Arabidopsis thaliana: one gene and its partners. The protein of the gene in region 2 interacts with the protein of the main gene of each other region in a pairwise test. Each region holds a gene or a part of one and is shown on either strand. Other genes may lie near its edges. The genes, in order: AGL86, NF-YA8, AGL23 and LBD40.

Region 1 (4,415 bases), 5.3 Mb from region 2:
CATGCATGGGCTTCTTGAAGCATATTCCCGAACACTTGCGAATCTTGCTTTCTGGATTCTTTCAAGAATGGGAGAAATCTTGAAAGAGTTATAACTCCCTTGCACCACCGAGTAGCATCCTTAGCTCATGTGACCCTAAAGAGCACCCCAAAGGCCTTTGCTTTGGTCCCGTGTAAGGCCTCTCCGATGGGACAGAGACTGGTTTTCTATTTTTTGTTTGCAGTTGCTAAGGCAGGTAATTCAGTGAATACAACTCCAAGTAGAAGCAGTAGACTGTGGTGTTTAAGTAAAGTGCCTTCTGATACTTCTCCTTGATTTAGAGGGTCTTCCTAGTTCGATGCGTGCCACCTGAAGCTTCTCCTTTAAAAACCGTTTTAAAGACTGTATTAAGATTGAATATGGTTAAATTGATTTGGCTCTTCTGAAAATTTTAAATAAAAAGCTGAGATATTAAGAAAATAAGGTATATTTTAGGATATGCATATATTATGGGCCTAAGGTAATTTGAAATTAACACAAGCCTTAATGTATCTCTATCTGTACCTATCACCTACTAAGTATTCATTAAGATTTTTTTTTAGAAAAATGGCTTCCTAGCGTTCTATTTCAACTATAGGCTTCACTTCGTGTATCATCCCAACACTGACGAGGTTTTTTGGGTTGGATTCAAGTGTGTACTTCAACTAAGAACATATTTTTGGTGACCAGTTATGCTTACTACAACGTTCAGATAAGATCGACTATACCTTGAATTGTTTTAGTATGTGTAAATTAAATACATAGATTAAACGGATCGTGATTACCAAAAAAAGTTCTTATGTATATATATGGACCTTATTTAAGATATCTATAGTTAAACTTTTGAACATGACCTATAACTATAAGTAGCTTAAGTCGCCCCTAACTAAACATATAAATAAACATGAAAATTAGTGTTTTATGGCAGATGAAAGTTATTTATTATCTGAGCCAAAAATATACGGTGAGCTTGAAATAAAATTTAGCATTTAAAGAGAATGGAAATTAAACTACTACTGGATTGAATTATTTACCATTCTCTCATGTAATATCTTCTACTCTATAGTATTTTTATAACTATTTGAAAACATTTAATCAAAAATCAATAAATATGCTATTTATTTTAGAGAAATTTCTACATTTTGTAAATGTAATTGATAAGAAGAGAACCAGTCAAACAAAGTCTAATTAACGATGTGCATTCTTGTTTTTCTTATTTTTTGGTTATTGTTAGACCTCCATTTTTTTTGGATTCTCTCTCATTATAATCATACCACACAAAAAAAGTATGAGAGAAATAAGAGAAAGGTTCTTAAATAAGAACTTTTGGTATATTAACTTGAACTTTGGGTATATTACACTTGTCTTTTTTTAATTGGTTCATTTTTTGCTTTTAAACCAAAAATTAATATATAATTAAACTATATTTAAATATTAATACTTTAAAGTTTAGATATTTCTTTGGGTATGTAAAAACAACTGGAAGTTTTCTATACGTAGTCTAAAATCTTTAATTTCCCTATTTACAGCTTATAATTAGCTGGCAATGCAATGAAATATTCTAACCCAATAAAAGAAAAAGTATTCTCCAAAAGGTATAATATATGCATGATTTAACAAATTATCTCTAAACTAATTTATTACTGAGCCAAAAGAGGAAAGAAATCCATCTATTAATGTATAAAACAGTTATTTTATCCAAATTTCCTTTTAATTAGAATCAACTTAATGATTAAAAAAAATCAGGTGGACCTGCAGGCCATGACAAATGTTCTTTTAATATATTTATTAAAAAAGTTCATATAACCAAATCTGAGATTTAAAAAAATATATTTTTCTCTAATACTCTACTATTATATATTTTCATTTGTTATTATTGTAAGTATCAAATATTTTTACTAAATTAATTAATATAAATTTTAATGATATTTTATTATCTTATTATATTGGTTTACAAACTTCTTGGTATGTTCTCCTTTAATGTATATAGGTAGTTTAAAGATTTTCTTAGAAATAGAACACATATTTCGTGAGATTCATGTTACATTGTTTTCAAAAACTTTCGTGCTTTCTAAATATTTCGTAAGACTCACGTTATATTGTTTTCATTTTTTTTCTATAAATAAACAACTCTTTTGAGCTTGTATATATTCATGATTTTACATGTAAATTGAAGATGGAGTACTCTATTTAAAAAGAAGAAAAAAAAACACTTCAAACTATTACTAAATTTCATAGTTTATAAACAAAACTTTAAATTACTCTTAAAAGAAAAGTGAGAGTAATATAGGAAGATAAACTATTCTTAGTAAAAAGAAAAGAAAATCTATTCTTAGACATAGCTTTAATTAGTGGCCTCGTCAATTAATGAGACAGTAAACACAAAACAAATCTAATGAGTCCAGCAACGTGAAAAGCCACGTACTGTGTAAAAGCACAATTTTCATTTCTATATAAACAAGACAGTCTTGGGCCAAGAAAGTAAACAAAACACACACCAAAGAAAAGAAAAACAAAGATAATGAGGTCGAAAATTAAGTTATCACTCATAGCTAATAAGACCTCAAGGAGAACCACATTCAGGAAGAGGAAGGGAGGGATAACGAACAAACTCCATGAGCTAACAACTCTCTGCGGCGTCAAAGCATGTGCGGTAATCTCCAGTCCGTACGAGAATCCAGTGGTGTGGCCGTCAACCGAAGGTGTTCAAGAGGCGGTTTCCATGTTTATGGAGAGGCCGGCGACAGAACAATCCAAGCTGATGATGAGTCATGAGACCTACTTGCAGGACAAAATTACCAAAGAAACAAAGAAACTGGAGAGTCTACGTCGTGAAAACCGAGAATCTCAGCTTAGGCAATTTATGTTTGATTGTGTTGAAGGTAAGATGAGTGAGCATCAGTATGGTGCAAGGGACCTTCAAGATTTAAGTCTTTATATTGATCACTATATCAATCAGCTTAATTCAAGTGTCATGCTCCTTACAAACAATGGTGCGTCTTCTTCTTCCTTTCCTCCTCCGCTTCATACTTCAGTTGCGGGTGCGGGTGCGGGTGCGGGTGCTGCTCCTCTTGTTGTTGCGGGTGCGGGTGCGGCTCCTCTTGCTGTTGCGGGGGCGGGTGCGAGTCCTCTTGCTGTTGCGGGTGTGGGTGCGGCTCCTCTTGCTGTTGCGGGTGCCGGTCCTCCTATGGCTCAGAATCAGTATGAGCCGATTCAGCCCTATATCCCTACTGCTTTTAGTGATAATATTCAATACCAAGCTCCTGTGGATTTTAATCATCAGATCCAACATGGAATCTATGATAATCTCAGTTTGGATCCAAATCATCAGTATCCGTTTCAAGATGATCCATTCATGGAGATGTTGATGGAATATCCTTATGAACAAGTGGGTTATGCTGCAGAGCATGCACACATCCCTTTCATGAACGGAAACTACTACAACTACCACCAACCACCAACCGTTGGTCTTACTACCACCGGTCACATGCCTTCCAACAACGCCACCACCACCACCACCACCAACACCACCGTTGTGTGATGTGTTTCAGTAGTTTGCATTTGTGTTTTGTCCATTTCAAAAGACCAATCTCTAATAATGTCTTTTCTTTTCAGTTAATTGTTGTAAGAGTTGAAGGTTTTACCTTTAAGTCAGTTATATTTTTATGTATTGGGTAATGTATTTCTGCGCCGTAGAGCCGGATATTTCAATTATATTTGAAGAAGTTTGGTCATAAATTTGTTTTTACTTTGTTTTTTGTTCTTAAAATACATAACTAAATAGATCTGCTAAAATCAAATATATTTTGTTTCATAGAAAATCTTACTTTGGATATATTATTCGCAAAAACATCAATACTCTGTATATCTCTTTCTCAATCCATAATTTATTTACTTCCCACACCTACCTATATAGCGAGCAAATGAACACACTAAAGAAGTAAAAACATGAACATAAATAATGAACACACGTCTCAGCAAACCCAAAAGATTAACAATACAAACTGTAGCTTGTTTAGTGTTGAAAATTTGAAAAATCAACATGATAAAATAATGAAACTAAAATAAAAGGCAAGTTTTCAGTTATCTCTTACATTAGGATCCTACGAATCAAGTTAAATTAATTCTAGGATCCTTAAAAAAGCCAACACTCTGGACGTGTGGTTATGTGCGATCAGAACAAGAGATTCACGGGAGCCGGAGGTTCTTTCGAATCCATAAGAGCGCCTAAACTCTTCACTGTCTCCAAATCCTAGGAGCTTTAACTCTTCTTATGTTTTTTGTTTCAACATTGTAGTAGAAAATGTAGAAGGGTCGAAAATTGAGTGACAACCTCTTTGGGGCAATAATGATCTCACCAGCCTTGTTGGTGTCTGGAAATGACATTTTAGCACACT
Region 2 (5,506 bases):
TGGCTTTCAGAGACGTAAGCATCTATATCATCTTTGATCTATTCTTTTAAATTTTCATGCATCCTGACCTGACGAGTTTCTGGCTTTGTGTTTCTTTTGTCTTCTTATCATCAGGGAGGAGAACAAACTGAATGCATGTGCCTACACACGTGTGATATGACCTGTGTGTTATCCATGGAGGCCAGTGTTGTTGGCCGTATGCATAATCTCAAGTTTCTCAAGGTTTACAAGCATGTAGATTACAGAGAGTCGAATCTGCAACTCATTCCAGACCAACCGTTCCTGCCTCGTAGCCTACGGCTATTCCATTGGGATGCATTTCCATTGAGAGCCCTGCCTTCCGGTTCTGATCCATGTTTTCTTGTTGAACTCAATCTGCGTCACAGTGATTTAGAAACTCTCTGGAGTGGAACACCGGTAATCTTTTCTATGATTCTGCATCTTGTGTTTGTGTTTTTGATAGAGCAATGGTGTGAAAACAGAGAATCCTTGCGAGAAACATAATTCCAACTATTTCCATGTGTTGTTGTATCTTGCTCAGATGTTGAAGAGTTTGAAGAGACTAGATGTGACGGGATCTAAGCATCTCAAGCAACTTCCAGATCTTTCAAGTATCACGAGTCTTGAGGAATTGCTTCTGGAACAATGCACGAGACTGGAGGGCATTCCAGAGTGTATTGGAAAAAGGTCTACCTTAAAGAAGCTTAAGCTATCCTACCGTGGAGGGCGTAGAAGTGCCCTGCGGTTTTTTCTACGAAAATCTACAAGGCAGCAACATATTGGATTGGAGTTCCCAGACGCAAAAGTGAAAATGGATGCACTTATAAACATATCGATTGGGGGAGACATTACTTTTGAGTTTCGTTCAAAATTTAGAGGATATGCTGAATACGTCTCTTTTAATTCTGAGCAACAGATACCCATTATATCGGCGATGAGTCTGCAACAAGCACCTTGGGTCATCTCAGAGTGCAACAGATTCAATTCCCTCCGCATCATGAGGTTCAGCCACAAAGAAAACGGTGAATCTTTCTCCTTTGACGTCTTTCCAGATTTTCCCGACCTGAAAGAGCTAAAACTAGTGAACTTAAACATCAGGAAAATCCCATCTGGGATTTGTCACCTGGATTTACTAGAGAAGCTGGACCTCAGCGGAAATGATTTTGAGAACTTACCAGAAGCTATGAGTAGCCTTTCCCGGTTAAAAACTCTCTGGCTTCAAAACTGCTTTAAGCTCCAGGAGTTGCCAAAGCTAACTCAGGTGCAGACACTTACACTTACCAACTGTAGGAACCTTAGATCATTGGCGAAACTATCTAACACAAGTCAAGATGAGGGAAGATACTGTTTGCTTGAGCTTTGCCTTGAAAATTGCAAGAGTGTTGAATCATTGTCAGATCAGCTTAGTCATTTCACCAAGTTGACATGTTTAGATCTCAGCAACCATGATTTTGAGACATTGCCATCAAGCATCAGAGATCTTACCTCATTGGTAACACTTTGCCTCAATAACTGCAAGAAACTCAAATCGGTGGAAAAACTTCCCTTGTCTCTCCAATTTCTCGATGCACACGGCTGTGATTCTCTCGAAGCTGGTTCTGCAGAACATTTTGAGGACATACCAAACAAGGAGGTGAATACTTGGCTCTTGATCCGTCTCTACTATGATTGATGTAGTTACCCTTTATCATCTCCCTTCTTTTATAGGCACATACACGAAATGACTACTTCCAAGAAACTGAGATGTCGAGTTATGTACTGAAAACTCAAGCCACAAGAAATCGCCAAACCATCCGCCTTCCCAAGATCACACATGCGGTTATGTATGTAGGCATCCCTATCTGCATCACGCTAGTGGCTGCTCTTGTGATTTTACTCCTGCGTGTTTTCAAGTGAAACTCAAGACTCAGCAACAGCTTCCTCAAGACTTAAACTGTGTGCTTTCTTCTGTAATTTACCAGGTAGTAACAAACTTACTACATTTCAAGTCTCCCTTGCTTCTGCTTCTCTCTCTCTTTTCCACTCGCATTTTGGAACTGAGTTCCACTATATCCAAAGAACGCTTCAAGATTTTGTCCATAAACACAAAGAGTAGGCAGATTAGCTTTGCTTTAGATGCTTCAGCTGCCATATAGTTGCTCACTAGATTAGGCTTTTGACGATAGTTTTACTTTGTAAAGTGGATAGGCAGATAACTAGATAAGTGTTTACTTTGTTAAGTGAACAAAATAATAAGTCAATAAGATTAGAAAACTAATATATTAATTAAGCATTAAAAATACTAATGAAGGTGGCGGTACTGCTAATAATGGAGCTGGTGATTTTGTTGGAAAGGTAATGACTTTATAAGAGAGAAAATTGTGAGTGACGGAAATGAAGCATCAAAAGAATACACACACACACATACACACTGTTGAGTATCTATCTGAGAGAATAAGCAAAAGAGAAAAGAGATTTACTTTGTTTTGATAGGCATCCCTTGAGTTCCTGTTCTTCATCTCTTCCTTGAATCCGTAAGGTCTCTCTATCTCCTTCTCTTTGAATCCGTCATTTCTTCGCTTTTTTTTAGAGTGATGTGCTGATTCGGAAATCTTCTGGAAATTTCTTCCCAAGTCAACGCCTTTTAGGACGAAAGTAATGGTGCTGATTTTAGTTGGTCGGAACTTTACTTTTTTTTCTGCCGCGCTCTTCTAATAGTTTGCCCGAAATAGTTCTGAATGTTGCTCTGTTTCTGGGTTTTTTTCCCTTTTTGGATTATCCCCTTCTTTGTCTACTACATCGTCAAAGGTTTTGCTGTTTCCAGGAATAAATATCTTTTGAAAGTTTTATCATTTATAAAGATGTTCTGAATTTGGAGCTTCTTTGACAGACACATGTATCATCAATCTTCTCTGTTGAAGCAGAGAGAGAGAGAGCTAATTGTTGCCTCTGAGTCACATGGATAAGAAAGTTTCATTTACTAGCTCTGTGGCACATTCAACTCCACCATACCTTAGTACTTCCATCTCATGGGGACTTCCAACCAAATCCAATGGTGTGACTGAATCACTGAGTTTGAAGGTGGTAGATGCAAGACCAGAACGTCTTATAAACACAAAGAATATCAGTTTCCAGGACCAGGATTCATCTTCAACTCTGTCCTCTGCTCAATCTTCTAACGATGTTACAAGTAGTGGAGATGATAACCCCTCAAGACAAATCTCATTTTTAGCACATTCAGGTCCGTTTTAAACAACTTTGGGTTCTAGACAACTCACTATGATCTATTATGTTGAAGACGCATGGTGTTTTAGCTTGATCTTTGGTCCCATTTACGAAAGAATCCATCCCTTTGTCCTGAAAATGTTATCTTTCGCTCTCTTTCTTTCAGATGTTTGTAAAGGATTTGAAGAAACTCAAAGGAAGCGATTTGCAATTAAATCAGGCTCCTCCACGGCAGGAATCGCTGATATTCACTCTTCTCCTTCCAAGGTACCCGTATATCTACTACGAGTGACGATAAGCAGTACTTGTGATTGTTTACTGACATCTTGTGTTATACTCTGGTTTCAGGCTAACTTCTCATTTCACTATGCCGATCCACATTTTGGTGGTTTAATGCCTGCGGCTTACCTACCACAGGCAACAGTAAGTATATCCTCCTTGATTACATATGGTGAGGAGAATATTTATGCTAAACCTCATTTTTACTTAAGGTGGACTTGTTATGTAACATTATGCTCTGAAGTAGTTACATATACAGCTATAGAAAGAAATGCCATCCTTAAATGGTGAATTAGTCTTGCAATTTATTTCTCCATTTGAGATTTCAGTTTGCTTAAAAACTTTCTGCAGATATGGAATCCCCAAATGACTCGAGTTCCGCTACCATTCGATCTCATAGAGAATGAGCCTGTCTTTGTCAATGCAAAGCAATTCCATGCAATTATGAGGAGGAGGCAACAGCGTGCTAAGCTAGAGGCGCAAAACAAACTAATCAAAGCCCGTAAGGTATAGTATTTTGGTCAGCGTTTCGGTATCTTACTTTGGTTTAATGACTAAACATAACTCATTATCAAATATCATACAGCCGTATCTTCATGAATCTCGACATGTTCACGCTCTTAAACGACCTAGAGGATCTGGTGGAAGATTCCTAAACACCAAAAAGCTTCAAGAATCTACAGATCCAAAACAAGACATGCCAATCCAACAGCAACACGCAACGGGAAACATGTCAAGATTTGTGCTTTATCAGTTGCAGAACAGCAATGACTGTGATTGTTCAACCACTTCTCGCTCTGACATCACATCTGCTTCTGACAGCGTTAATCTCTTTGGACACTCTGAATTTCTGATATCAGATTGCCCATCTCAGACAAACCCAACAATGTATGTTCATGGTCAATCAAATGACATGCATGGAGGTAGGAACACACACCATTTCTCTGTCCATATCTGAGCCGGTGGAATCTGGTAATGTGTACGTTCCTACAAAAAAAGGGAAGTCATCCTTGGCTGCTACTTCGCTTATTAGCTAGTTCTTATTTCACACGCTTTGTCCAGATATCATTTGAATGACCAAAAACCTTCAAGCTTCAACTCTTTACTTTTCGTCTGTCGTTTGTACCATGGATCATCGTGTGTTAAGTCAGTGATTGGATTGGAGTGATGAATGTAAATGTAAATCTGATAACCGATAAGTCTCTGCTCTTTGCTTATTCATAGTTAGTAAAGCTAAACCAGATTCATACACTCCATTCCGGTGTTGTTTATATCATATATCATAGTCATAGAACACATTGACTAGAAGCGCAGCTTGGTCCCAATCCTCTGTAACAAGCCGTCCAACCACCTTCCCCGACCAAGTTTCTAACCGTCTGTAGATAGTCAGACTGCAGTTCCTATCGTTACTACTACTACTATTACTATCTTCCACATTTAGAACCTGCAGTCTAGTCTTTAATTATGTCACTGTAATCAAAGCGGAGACACTACCAGCAATGGCGGCAGTAACACCTTGAACAAATGTTCCCTAAACGCTTTTCTGTCTGAGTACCCCCGAGTTACAATCACTAGCAGTGTATTTATACACAAAGGGAATATCTCTTAACACAGATATGTTTCCAAAAACATACAAACATAACTAAAGACTAGACTGTAAAGGATGACGGGAAATTGCAATGTTTCTTTTGCAACACGTTTTCACCACGTGTCGATGTTGTTGACACATTAACTAACGCAAGAGTTATCCTTCTTTTGATCTTTTCCTTGATGTAATACTTTGGGCTTCAATTTTGGGCTTCAACTTTGGCCTTGTAAACTTGTTTGGATCAGTCAATAAAGAACAATAGTGACAAAAAAAAAAACTAATAATTTGAAAAATGATAAACAAAGTAAAATTCATTAAGCAAATGGCCTATCAACGCATGGACACAACAAATATTTAGTTCACATATATATATTTTTTCCTACCCAATATACCCCTATTAATAGTAGAACAGTACCAGAAAGCCACTGGCAAAGA
Region 3 (4,219 bases), about 18 Mb from region 2:
TATATTTCCAAGATATATCTAATCATTTTGTTTTTGCCGGTTTGCAGGGTTAGGCTTGTTAATCTTCATTGGTGGAGTATATTGGTTATAAAATTTAGTAGAAAACAAATGAGGCTAAACCAAAAGAGAAAGTTCTTCAAACGTACTGGGGGTTTATTGTTGCAACAACAATTGACTTCAACAGAAGGCAATGTCGAGAAGACAAGAGTGTTCAGCTCGAGTGAGTTAGAGAAAGCCACTGAAAACTTCAGCCTAAATAGAATACTTGGTCAGGGTGGTCAAGGTACTGTGTACAAGGGAATGCTTGTCGATGCTAGAATTGTAGCAGTAAAGAAACCCAAAGTTGTGGACGCAGACAAGCTAGAAGAGTTCATCAATGAGGTTGTAATTCTTTCGCAGATTAACCATAGAATCGTGAAAATCTTAGGTTGTTTCCGTAATGAGACAAATGTCCTTCTTCTCGTCTACGAGTTTATTCCCAATGGCAACCTTTTCGAGCATCTTCACGATAAGCTGATGATTTCACGATGATTACTTGGGATGTACGTCTCCGCATAGCAGTGGATATTGCATGAGCTCTTTCATACTTGCTCTCGGCTGAATCATCTCCAATCTATCACAGAGACGTCAAGTCTACAAACATCATGTTAGATGAGAAATATCGAGCCAAAGTTTCGCGATGGGATATATGGATCCTGAGTACTTTCAGTCTAGCCAATTCACAGCAAAGAGTGATGTCTATAGCTTTGTGGTTGTGCTGGCTGAGTTAATATAGCATATCAAAGTTGTAAATTACTAGACTTATATAGATCTTTGGGAAATTACTAGAATATTAACTATGCCTCAAAAATATATAGTTCCATATACACAATAAACATATAAGATCACAGTAATGAAAATATTATAAAACTTCATATAGCTTTATTCATGTTCCACCAAAAAACATCGAAAGCTACAAGACACAAAGAACAACGAAAAGAAACAACAAGCCAATTGACTCAAGACTTAATTAAAAGACATACGACACCAACAATTAAAAAAAAAAAAAAAAAAAAAAAAAAAAAGACACAACAAACTATTGGAGACTTAAAAAGTCAACAACGAGAGAGATGAACTTATAGTACCAAGACCCATAATGAGGATAGACTTATTTAAACTCCTGGTGTGCGATTCATAATATCAAATCCAAACAGAAGTGTTTGAGTAGGATTAGTCGTCATTCCGTTTTGATCAAAGAACCCCTGGTTTGTGGAGATATTACCACCACTAACAGTTGCTGGAGCAGCAGCATTGCTAGAACTTCCAACATAGAAGTTTGGGTTTGTTTGATGGATTAATTGAATTGCTTTTTCATCAACTATCTTCTTCAAATCTTTAAGAACACGTATCATACAGGTTGATTGACTTAAGTTGAGTTCTAATGGAGACTTACTCCACCACTCCTCAGCGTTTTCGTTTTCTCTTTCATTTTGAGCCCGCGACTGCTTATTCTTTTGTTCTTTTTCTACTTCCGCCTTCACCTACGAATAAATCCACGAATAATGAATTTGTTAAGAATATCCATGAATTGTGAAACATTTATATAATATTCAATATCAAAATCGAAAAATAAGAGAGAAACAAATATTAGATATTGCCAACAATTGACATTTACCTCAGTGTAGGATTTGTTGAGCATTTGAACATGAAGCTTTGTGTAGCTTTCATCAAGGTTTGTGTTGTTGTGTCCTACAACACACCCTCGAAAGTGGTCAAGCAGAACATCAACATTTGGATGACCAAAAGAAAATACTTTTCCAGCTGGTGAAAACACGATCATCGCAATTTTTGCATCACATAATGTGCAAAATTCACTAGCCTTCTTAAAAAGACCAGCTTTTCTCTTGGAAAATGTGACTTGAAGGTTTGATTCCTTAGTCATTTTCACTATCTCTACCTTTCTACGACCAAGAGTTTTTTTCACCATTTTTTAGATGTTTTGAAGAAAGAAAAATTGAATTGATTGTATTAAAGATAATATGTCTTTGTATTTATAGAAAAAAACATACAAAATTTGTTTAGAGTTTTAAATGTAAATATAATTTCCTATTTTATATATTAGAAATAAATTATAAATTACCATTTAAGGCTTAGATACAGATTTACAGATTTTGTCAATAAAAGGTATATAATTATTACAGTTTTATCTATAACATTATCATTTAGCTATTATATTTGTTACAGCCTGTCAAGTTATTAAAAATTTTGGGGATATCTTTCCTATTACAAACCTATCAAATATAGGTACCAATGATTGGTTAAAGGATTTTTTCCATTATTTTCTATAGTCAATATCCTTTTTAACCTTTTTTATTAATCAAACTAATCTTATAAAATAAAATAAATAATTATTAAGTGTTTAAGATTTATATAAAATTCATAATGCATTAATGAAATATTATGTCCAACTTCCTTTTATTATATAGAAAATTGAAAAATATAAATTTAAGTTTGATCGCCGACTTTCAAAGTTCTTATTGCATATTAAGTAATAGTTGTTTGATATTTTAACTGTGATCGCCGACTCTTCAAGTTTTTATTGTGAGATAAACATATATATATATATATATATATTTCACACATCTCTAAGATTGATTCCCCTTTCTAAGTTTTTATTTTTGGATGTTACAAAGAATCCAACTAAATTAGTTCCTTAATACTTTATGTCATCGCCGCCTTTTCAAGTATTTTGTATAAGATTAAAATTATCTAAATAAAAACAATTGTATAATAATTCATTATTAAAATTATTTTCAACTTTTTGTTGTAGTATTAAAAATATCTAAATTAAAAAAGTTGTCCAATAATTTATTTTTAATCGCCTGCTTTTGAATTTTTAGACTGCCGACTTTTGATGTAAAAATAATTAAATTATGTTTTATCTCCGAATTTTCAAATTTTTATTGTCATATTAAAAATATCTAAATAAATAAATGTATAACTCTCTTTTTAGATAAGGTTAAAAACTAGTTTATGTTATCTTTAAATATATTAATCCAATTTAAACATGACACATGACGACATCTTATGTTTTACTTTACAATCACATAAGGTAACAAATTTGAATGCCAAACATTATAACAATAATAAATTACCATTGTAGGAGTAAATTATATATTTTGACAATAAAAGTATATAATTGATTATACTAGAAATCGACTCACTCTAATACTATGCCATAGTATTTTAATTATTTTAAATGTTTATTTTATTTGGAGTTTTATAATTAAAATATATAAATAAATAAATAAAACTTGGATAATATTCTTAAATATTTTGTTATTGAAATTTCTTTACAACAATGTAAATTTTAACTATAATAAGTGGTGGCAATGTTAAATGTTAAGTGACAAAATTTGGAAAATAAGTTAGATATTTTATATTATTATAATGATTTCAAGAACTCATAAACATTTTGATGAATTGCAAGATTTGCTTGCTAAAGTAAACGCCAGAAAACATTGGGCAGATACCTATTTTTCTTTGATTGTATTGGTGGTGCATGTAAAATTGCTTTGTAAAGAACAAATCTCATATTTGTACTCGTTCCTATCTATGTATATCGGATATCAACGTTAAATTTTGCACTTTATCTTTTGCCTAAGTAGATGACTTTTCTCAAGAGTAGCCGAATTTCCTGTATAGTATCTGCATTTTCTTAAAGTGATTTCCTTACTTACAGCTAGAGACTACATTACCTTTATTTCTCCAGAAATTGCATTAACAAATTCTTGCCACCATGGGAATAGGTTATAAAAAGTAGTTTAGCAACAAAAGCCGTATACAATAGTGATATTGTGCCCTTCAAAGAAAATAAAAAAGAGAGTGGAGATAAGAACGACTTAAACAAAACGAAAAAAGGCTTTGGATATAAAGCATATATACACCAGTTTGTTAGTCAATTCACTTTCTCTTTATCCGTTTGTTTAGTTTGAGTATTGAAATATCAGTGACGTTACTAATGTTTCATTTAGAATGATCGCATAGACATAACAGAAGATCACATTTTGAAAATGAAAGTTACCTTTTAAGCTCACTCATGGTGAAGTGAAGGCAATGGAGATCAAGGTCTTTCTACAGTCTTGCAACTCCCCCAAACTGAGAAACCATCTTGAGTATAATTAACTTTTACCGAAATAATGATAGTGAATATGCATGGTTTAACTTAGGGACCTCAATA
Region 4 (4,250 bases), about 19 Mb from region 2:
ACGACAATAAGAAAGACGACAAAAAATTTTATTCGTATGCTTATATTTTGTATGCATCTATTTTTCTACCTCTTACCTATGCATTTTTATTTTAATGAATTATCATATCTGTTTGTCAATCACTTCTATAGCAATATGATAATTTGGTTGAAACTGTATTTATCCATACGTCTATCTAAACATGTATATATACCATTTGAATTTTTCAAAAACATAATATATATACATATAGGAATTAGGTTATTGACTTATTGTTTATCTTACAATATGTTAAGTTATTTGATATAGAAAATTATTGTACAACTTTATACAGGTCTTCTAAATTACCTGAAACGACAACAAATTTATTTCATACTAGTATATATCATATAGCATATATAGCTTTCACATTCGTCTGTAACTGGTCTTTCAGAAAAATTGACTCTATAGAGTCTACTAGCTATAGTTATGATTGTTCGCATGATTATATTATTAGTTAAAGTGGAGACAATCGTATTAATCGTGTGATAGCCGGCAGAAGAAAAAATAAATCGTTTTATCCGTTAAAATTATATATATTTTGTTTTACTGTATTTTTCTAGTTTTTAACTAAGTTTTATCTTTATATAAATAATTATAAATGTTTATATAATGTTTGATATACTTAAATAAATATTTTATCTAAACTTTGTTTGCGATTTGACATTTTTAACATTTTTGATAGATATTTATATATTTTCTATAATTTTAATTTTTAACTGTTTCTAAACCTTAATAATAATTAATAGATTGTGTGTGCGTTTTTTTCTTTATTTTATTAAAGAAGTAATAGAAATAATTCAAACATCACCATTCAATGATGGGTGTTTCAATGGAAGAAACTACCAAATCTAACCAATAAACGTTGGCATCTATTCACCTAAAAGTAAAAATTGTAGAGCCTATATTAGTCAAAGTGATCCATGCAGATAATTTATTAGTAGGTCTTTCGATATTAATGTTGATATATACTAGAGCCTATAGAAGTCAAAGTGATTCCATTAAGATAATTTATTAAGTAGGTATTTGGATATTAATATTAATTATCAGAATTATGTATGGAGCTACATAATGTGTAACCGCTCAGAAAACGCGGCGATTCGACCAAACTCTGTTACCACAATGTCTCCGCCACGCGATCACACTTTTGCGCTTGCATGCGAACGTTGAAATTCGAACCTCTCATCTCTCTATTTACCATTTTACCCTCTAGTAATTTCGTTTTCAAAATTTACTATCTCCAAATATTTTGGCAGTCCATTATTAATTGCCGAACATTAAACTGCGGTCTAGACAAAAACAAACGGCGGTCAGATATAAACAACTAACCAAAAAAATAAAATACTTGACTGGTTTTGGACATTTTCGTCGATGATGATCACGCGCTACGAATGAGAGCCAAAGACAAAGCTCAACGGGCTTCCATATATATTTCATATTTATTAGTAACTATTTTCCCCAAAAAAAAAAATATATATTATTAGTAACTACAAACAAACAAACAAAATGTATAAACCATGAAAATTAAAGATTTTAAAATTTTATAACTATACAAATAGTATGAGAAGCTTTGTTTATTTTTATAAACACATAATAACAGTTTGAAAAAATTACTTACCTAAATAAAGGTAATATTCTCGTAATTTACTAAAATAATTCATACAAAATATAAAAACAATTACAAAACTCTTCTTTTTTGGGCTCTTTACATCTTATTTATACTTTGAAAATTACGATATCCATTTAGAGAAAAATATAACATGCACGTCACAAATTTATTTATTTTTTGAAAAAAATTACACACAAAGAAAACGACAACTTCGTTCCTTGTTAATTGTTATGATCTCTCCGACCAAACCCAAGCAGCTTCTCCCTCTTAAATACCTCTTCCTTCTTCTAAGATCTCTGGACCATTCTGTACTTTCCCTCAAACCCAAAACACATTTTGTTTTTTGTTTCCCATCTAAAATGCGTATGAGTTGTAACGGATGTCGAGTTCTACGAAAAGGCTGCAGTGAAAACTGTAGCATAAGACCTTGTCTTCAATGGATCAAATCCGCTGAATCTCAAGCCAACGCCACCGTCTTCCTCGCCAAGTTTTATGGCCGTGCGGGGCTCATGAACCTCCTCAACACCGGTCCTGACCACCTCCGTCCTGGTATTCAAACTTCCCATGCATGTTATGTTTTTTGTTTGTTATGGTTAATTGCGAAGTTCTGGACGGAATCTCTCATACATCTTTTTAGGAAACGTAGGATCCTGTTTATTTTTCTAACATGCATCTAATAATTTGGTAATTTTGTTTGTTTTTGCAGCGATATTTAGATCATTGTTGTACGAAGCATGCGGGAGGATTGTGAATCCGATATACGGATCCGTGGGGTTATTGTGGTCAGGAAACTGGCATCTTTGTCAAGCGGCCGTTGAGGCAGTAATGAGAGGCTCACCCGTGACTCCGATCGCATGCGACGCAGCGGTTACTGGTCAAGCACCTCCTTTTAACAACAAGCTTTGCGACATAAGACACGTGTCAAGCAGGGACGAGAACGTTAAGAGACGGAGCCGTGGTGCATGCAAGGAAGAGAGAAACGTGAGGTCTTTGAGTCATGAGTCGTCACTGAGTCACGAGTCACCGGTGTCTTCTGAGGAGACGACGACGGAGGAACCAAAGACTTGGATCGGGCTTGAGCTGACTTTGGGGTTGGAGCCTTTAGCACGTGGAAATCACGTGGTGGTACCGATGAAGAAAAGAAAGTTAGAGAGGTGTGGCACGTCTGAGGATGAGGACACGTGTAAGATTGAGCTTGGACTGGTGTGCAGTGAGTGAATGGTTCTTTTTTTGTGGCTGGTCTTAATTACAAGTTTTGGTGTTGAGTTTTAGGTGTACAAATAGAGATTAACGAATCTCTCTTTTTTCTCTTTTTGAGTTTTATGTTTTGTTTTGTTTTCTTTTGCATGTTCGGTGTTCTTCATAAATATGTATGATGAATGATAAAGAGGTCTTAACTTAACAAATCTTGGTTCGGATCGACATAACAAACATTTCTTCTTTCCATTCTAAATTCTTGATTTTACTCATGTACTTAAACAAACGATGCAATTGATGTAAACACGTTTATCCCAATAAATTTTGTATTTTATTTATATAAAAAAAAACTTAACAAATCTTCTATTTCAGAAATATCTGGGGTTAGATTACAAAGAATCTAAGTTGCTTAATGATGAAATCTCCATATGATGATTAGTCATTCATTTATAAATATTTTGTCTCAAAAAGCCCTTTTGTATGTGAACCGTGTTACCAAATGACTCAGCAGCTAACATGCATGTGTGTTAGATTTTTGTTCTCGAAGGATATGTGTAGGAACTTAATTAGCTAGAGAAAACGAAAAGGATGAATTATTTTAACTAATTGGGTCGAAATGTGTATTCAGCAGAAAACATAGCCCAACTCTTTCGGACTTGAATCCTGTTTTGTCCATCTATCTTCCCCCCCTATACACTCAATTCTCATACTATCAGATATGCTAAAATAATTAATGCAGTTTCTAGCCTACAGATATTTTGGGCTGTTGTGACTTACTTTTTGATAAATAAGAAGATACTTTTGTTTCCATAAATTTTGATTTCAGAAACTAAAAGTATTATAAGCCAAAAAAATCAATAATATATGTAAAATTATTTGTATGGTGAGTCTGTTTTAATTGTAAAGCTATTCAGTAAAATGCAGTTTGCCAAAGTTAAATCATTAATTAATATATATTTTTTCGGTTAACGGATAAAATATATATTAAACTGCATTTTATACTTTTGTTTTTCCGTTAATTGCCAAAGTATAAAAATCATTCAAACTTTTGTTTTTCCGTTAAATCTAGAGAAACTAATTAATATATATTTTTTCGGCAAAATGATCGATTTGTCTCTTTCTTCTTTCAATATTAAAAATGAAGATGATGTAGAGAGAAAGTGTAGAAGTAGAACCAACATTTATCAATACAGAATGATTTTTTTGGTTAAAGGATATCAATACAGAATATAATACGTTCATATACGGTGAACGTCCATGCATATTTTACGATTATTAATTCATATTTCTAATTTGATGGTACTTTTTTTTTTTTTTTTTTTGTATGAATGTAAAATTTAGTCATTAAAAAAACCCATGGTTACATGCAATATATGCTTTTCTGAGCAAAATTTTAAAAATGAAAACAGGAGAATAAGTGTTGAGA

The links.
Region 1: the proteins of NF-YA8 (region 2) and AGL86 interact in a two-hybrid assay, tested with the Arabidopsis thaliana proteins (one large-scale study listed by BioGRID).
Region 3: the proteins of NF-YA8 (region 2) and AGL23 interact in a two-hybrid assay, tested with the Arabidopsis thaliana proteins (one large-scale study listed by BioGRID).
Region 4: the proteins of NF-YA8 (region 2) and LBD40 interact in a two-hybrid assay, tested with the Arabidopsis thaliana proteins (one large-scale study listed by BioGRID).

The regions. Positions count from the first base shown.
Region 1 is NC_003070.9:11,317,672-11,322,086, reverse strand, and holds AGL86 (AGAMOUS-like 86), read left to right. Parts: upstream 1-2,539; coding exon 2,540-3,559; downstream 3,560-4,415. Other genes in the region: AT1G31620 (uncharacterized protein), read right to left, coding at 4,193-4,270. UniProt on the Arabidopsis thaliana protein: Probable transcription factor.
Region 2 is NC_003070.9:6,049,416-6,054,921, reverse strand, and holds NF-YA8 (nuclear factor Y, subunit A8), read left to right. Parts: upstream 1-2,293; 5' UTR 2,294-2,518; exon of another isoform or gene 2,519-2,869; 5' UTR 2,870-2,937; coding exon 2,938-3,220; intron 3,221-3,370; coding exon 3,371-3,471; intron 3,472-3,552; coding exon 3,553-3,627; intron 3,628-3,834; coding exon 3,835-3,990; intron 3,991-4,069; coding exon 4,070-4,441; 3' UTR 4,442-4,758; downstream 4,759-5,506. Other genes in the region: AT1G17600 (Disease resistance protein (TIR-NBS-LRR class) family), read left to right, coding at 1-14, 115-417, 542-1,633, 1,708-1,896. UniProt on the Arabidopsis thaliana protein: Stimulates the transcription of various genes by recognizing and binding to a CCAAT motif in promoters.
Region 3 is NC_003070.9:24,279,084-24,283,302, reverse strand, and holds AGL23 (AGAMOUS-like 23), read right to left. Parts: upstream 1,967-4,219; coding exon 1,655-1,966; intron 1,521-1,654; coding exon 1,152-1,520; 3' UTR 1,070-1,151; downstream 1-1,069. UniProt on the Arabidopsis thaliana protein: Probable transcription factor that controls female gametophyte (megagametogenesis) development and chloroplast biogenesis during embryo development.
Region 4 is NC_003070.9:25,051,815-25,056,064, forward strand, and holds LBD40 (LOB domain-containing protein 40), read left to right. Parts: upstream 1-1,858; 5' UTR 1,859-1,986; coding exon 1,987-2,176; intron 2,177-2,333; coding exon 2,334-2,845; 3' UTR 2,846-3,050; downstream 3,051-4,250.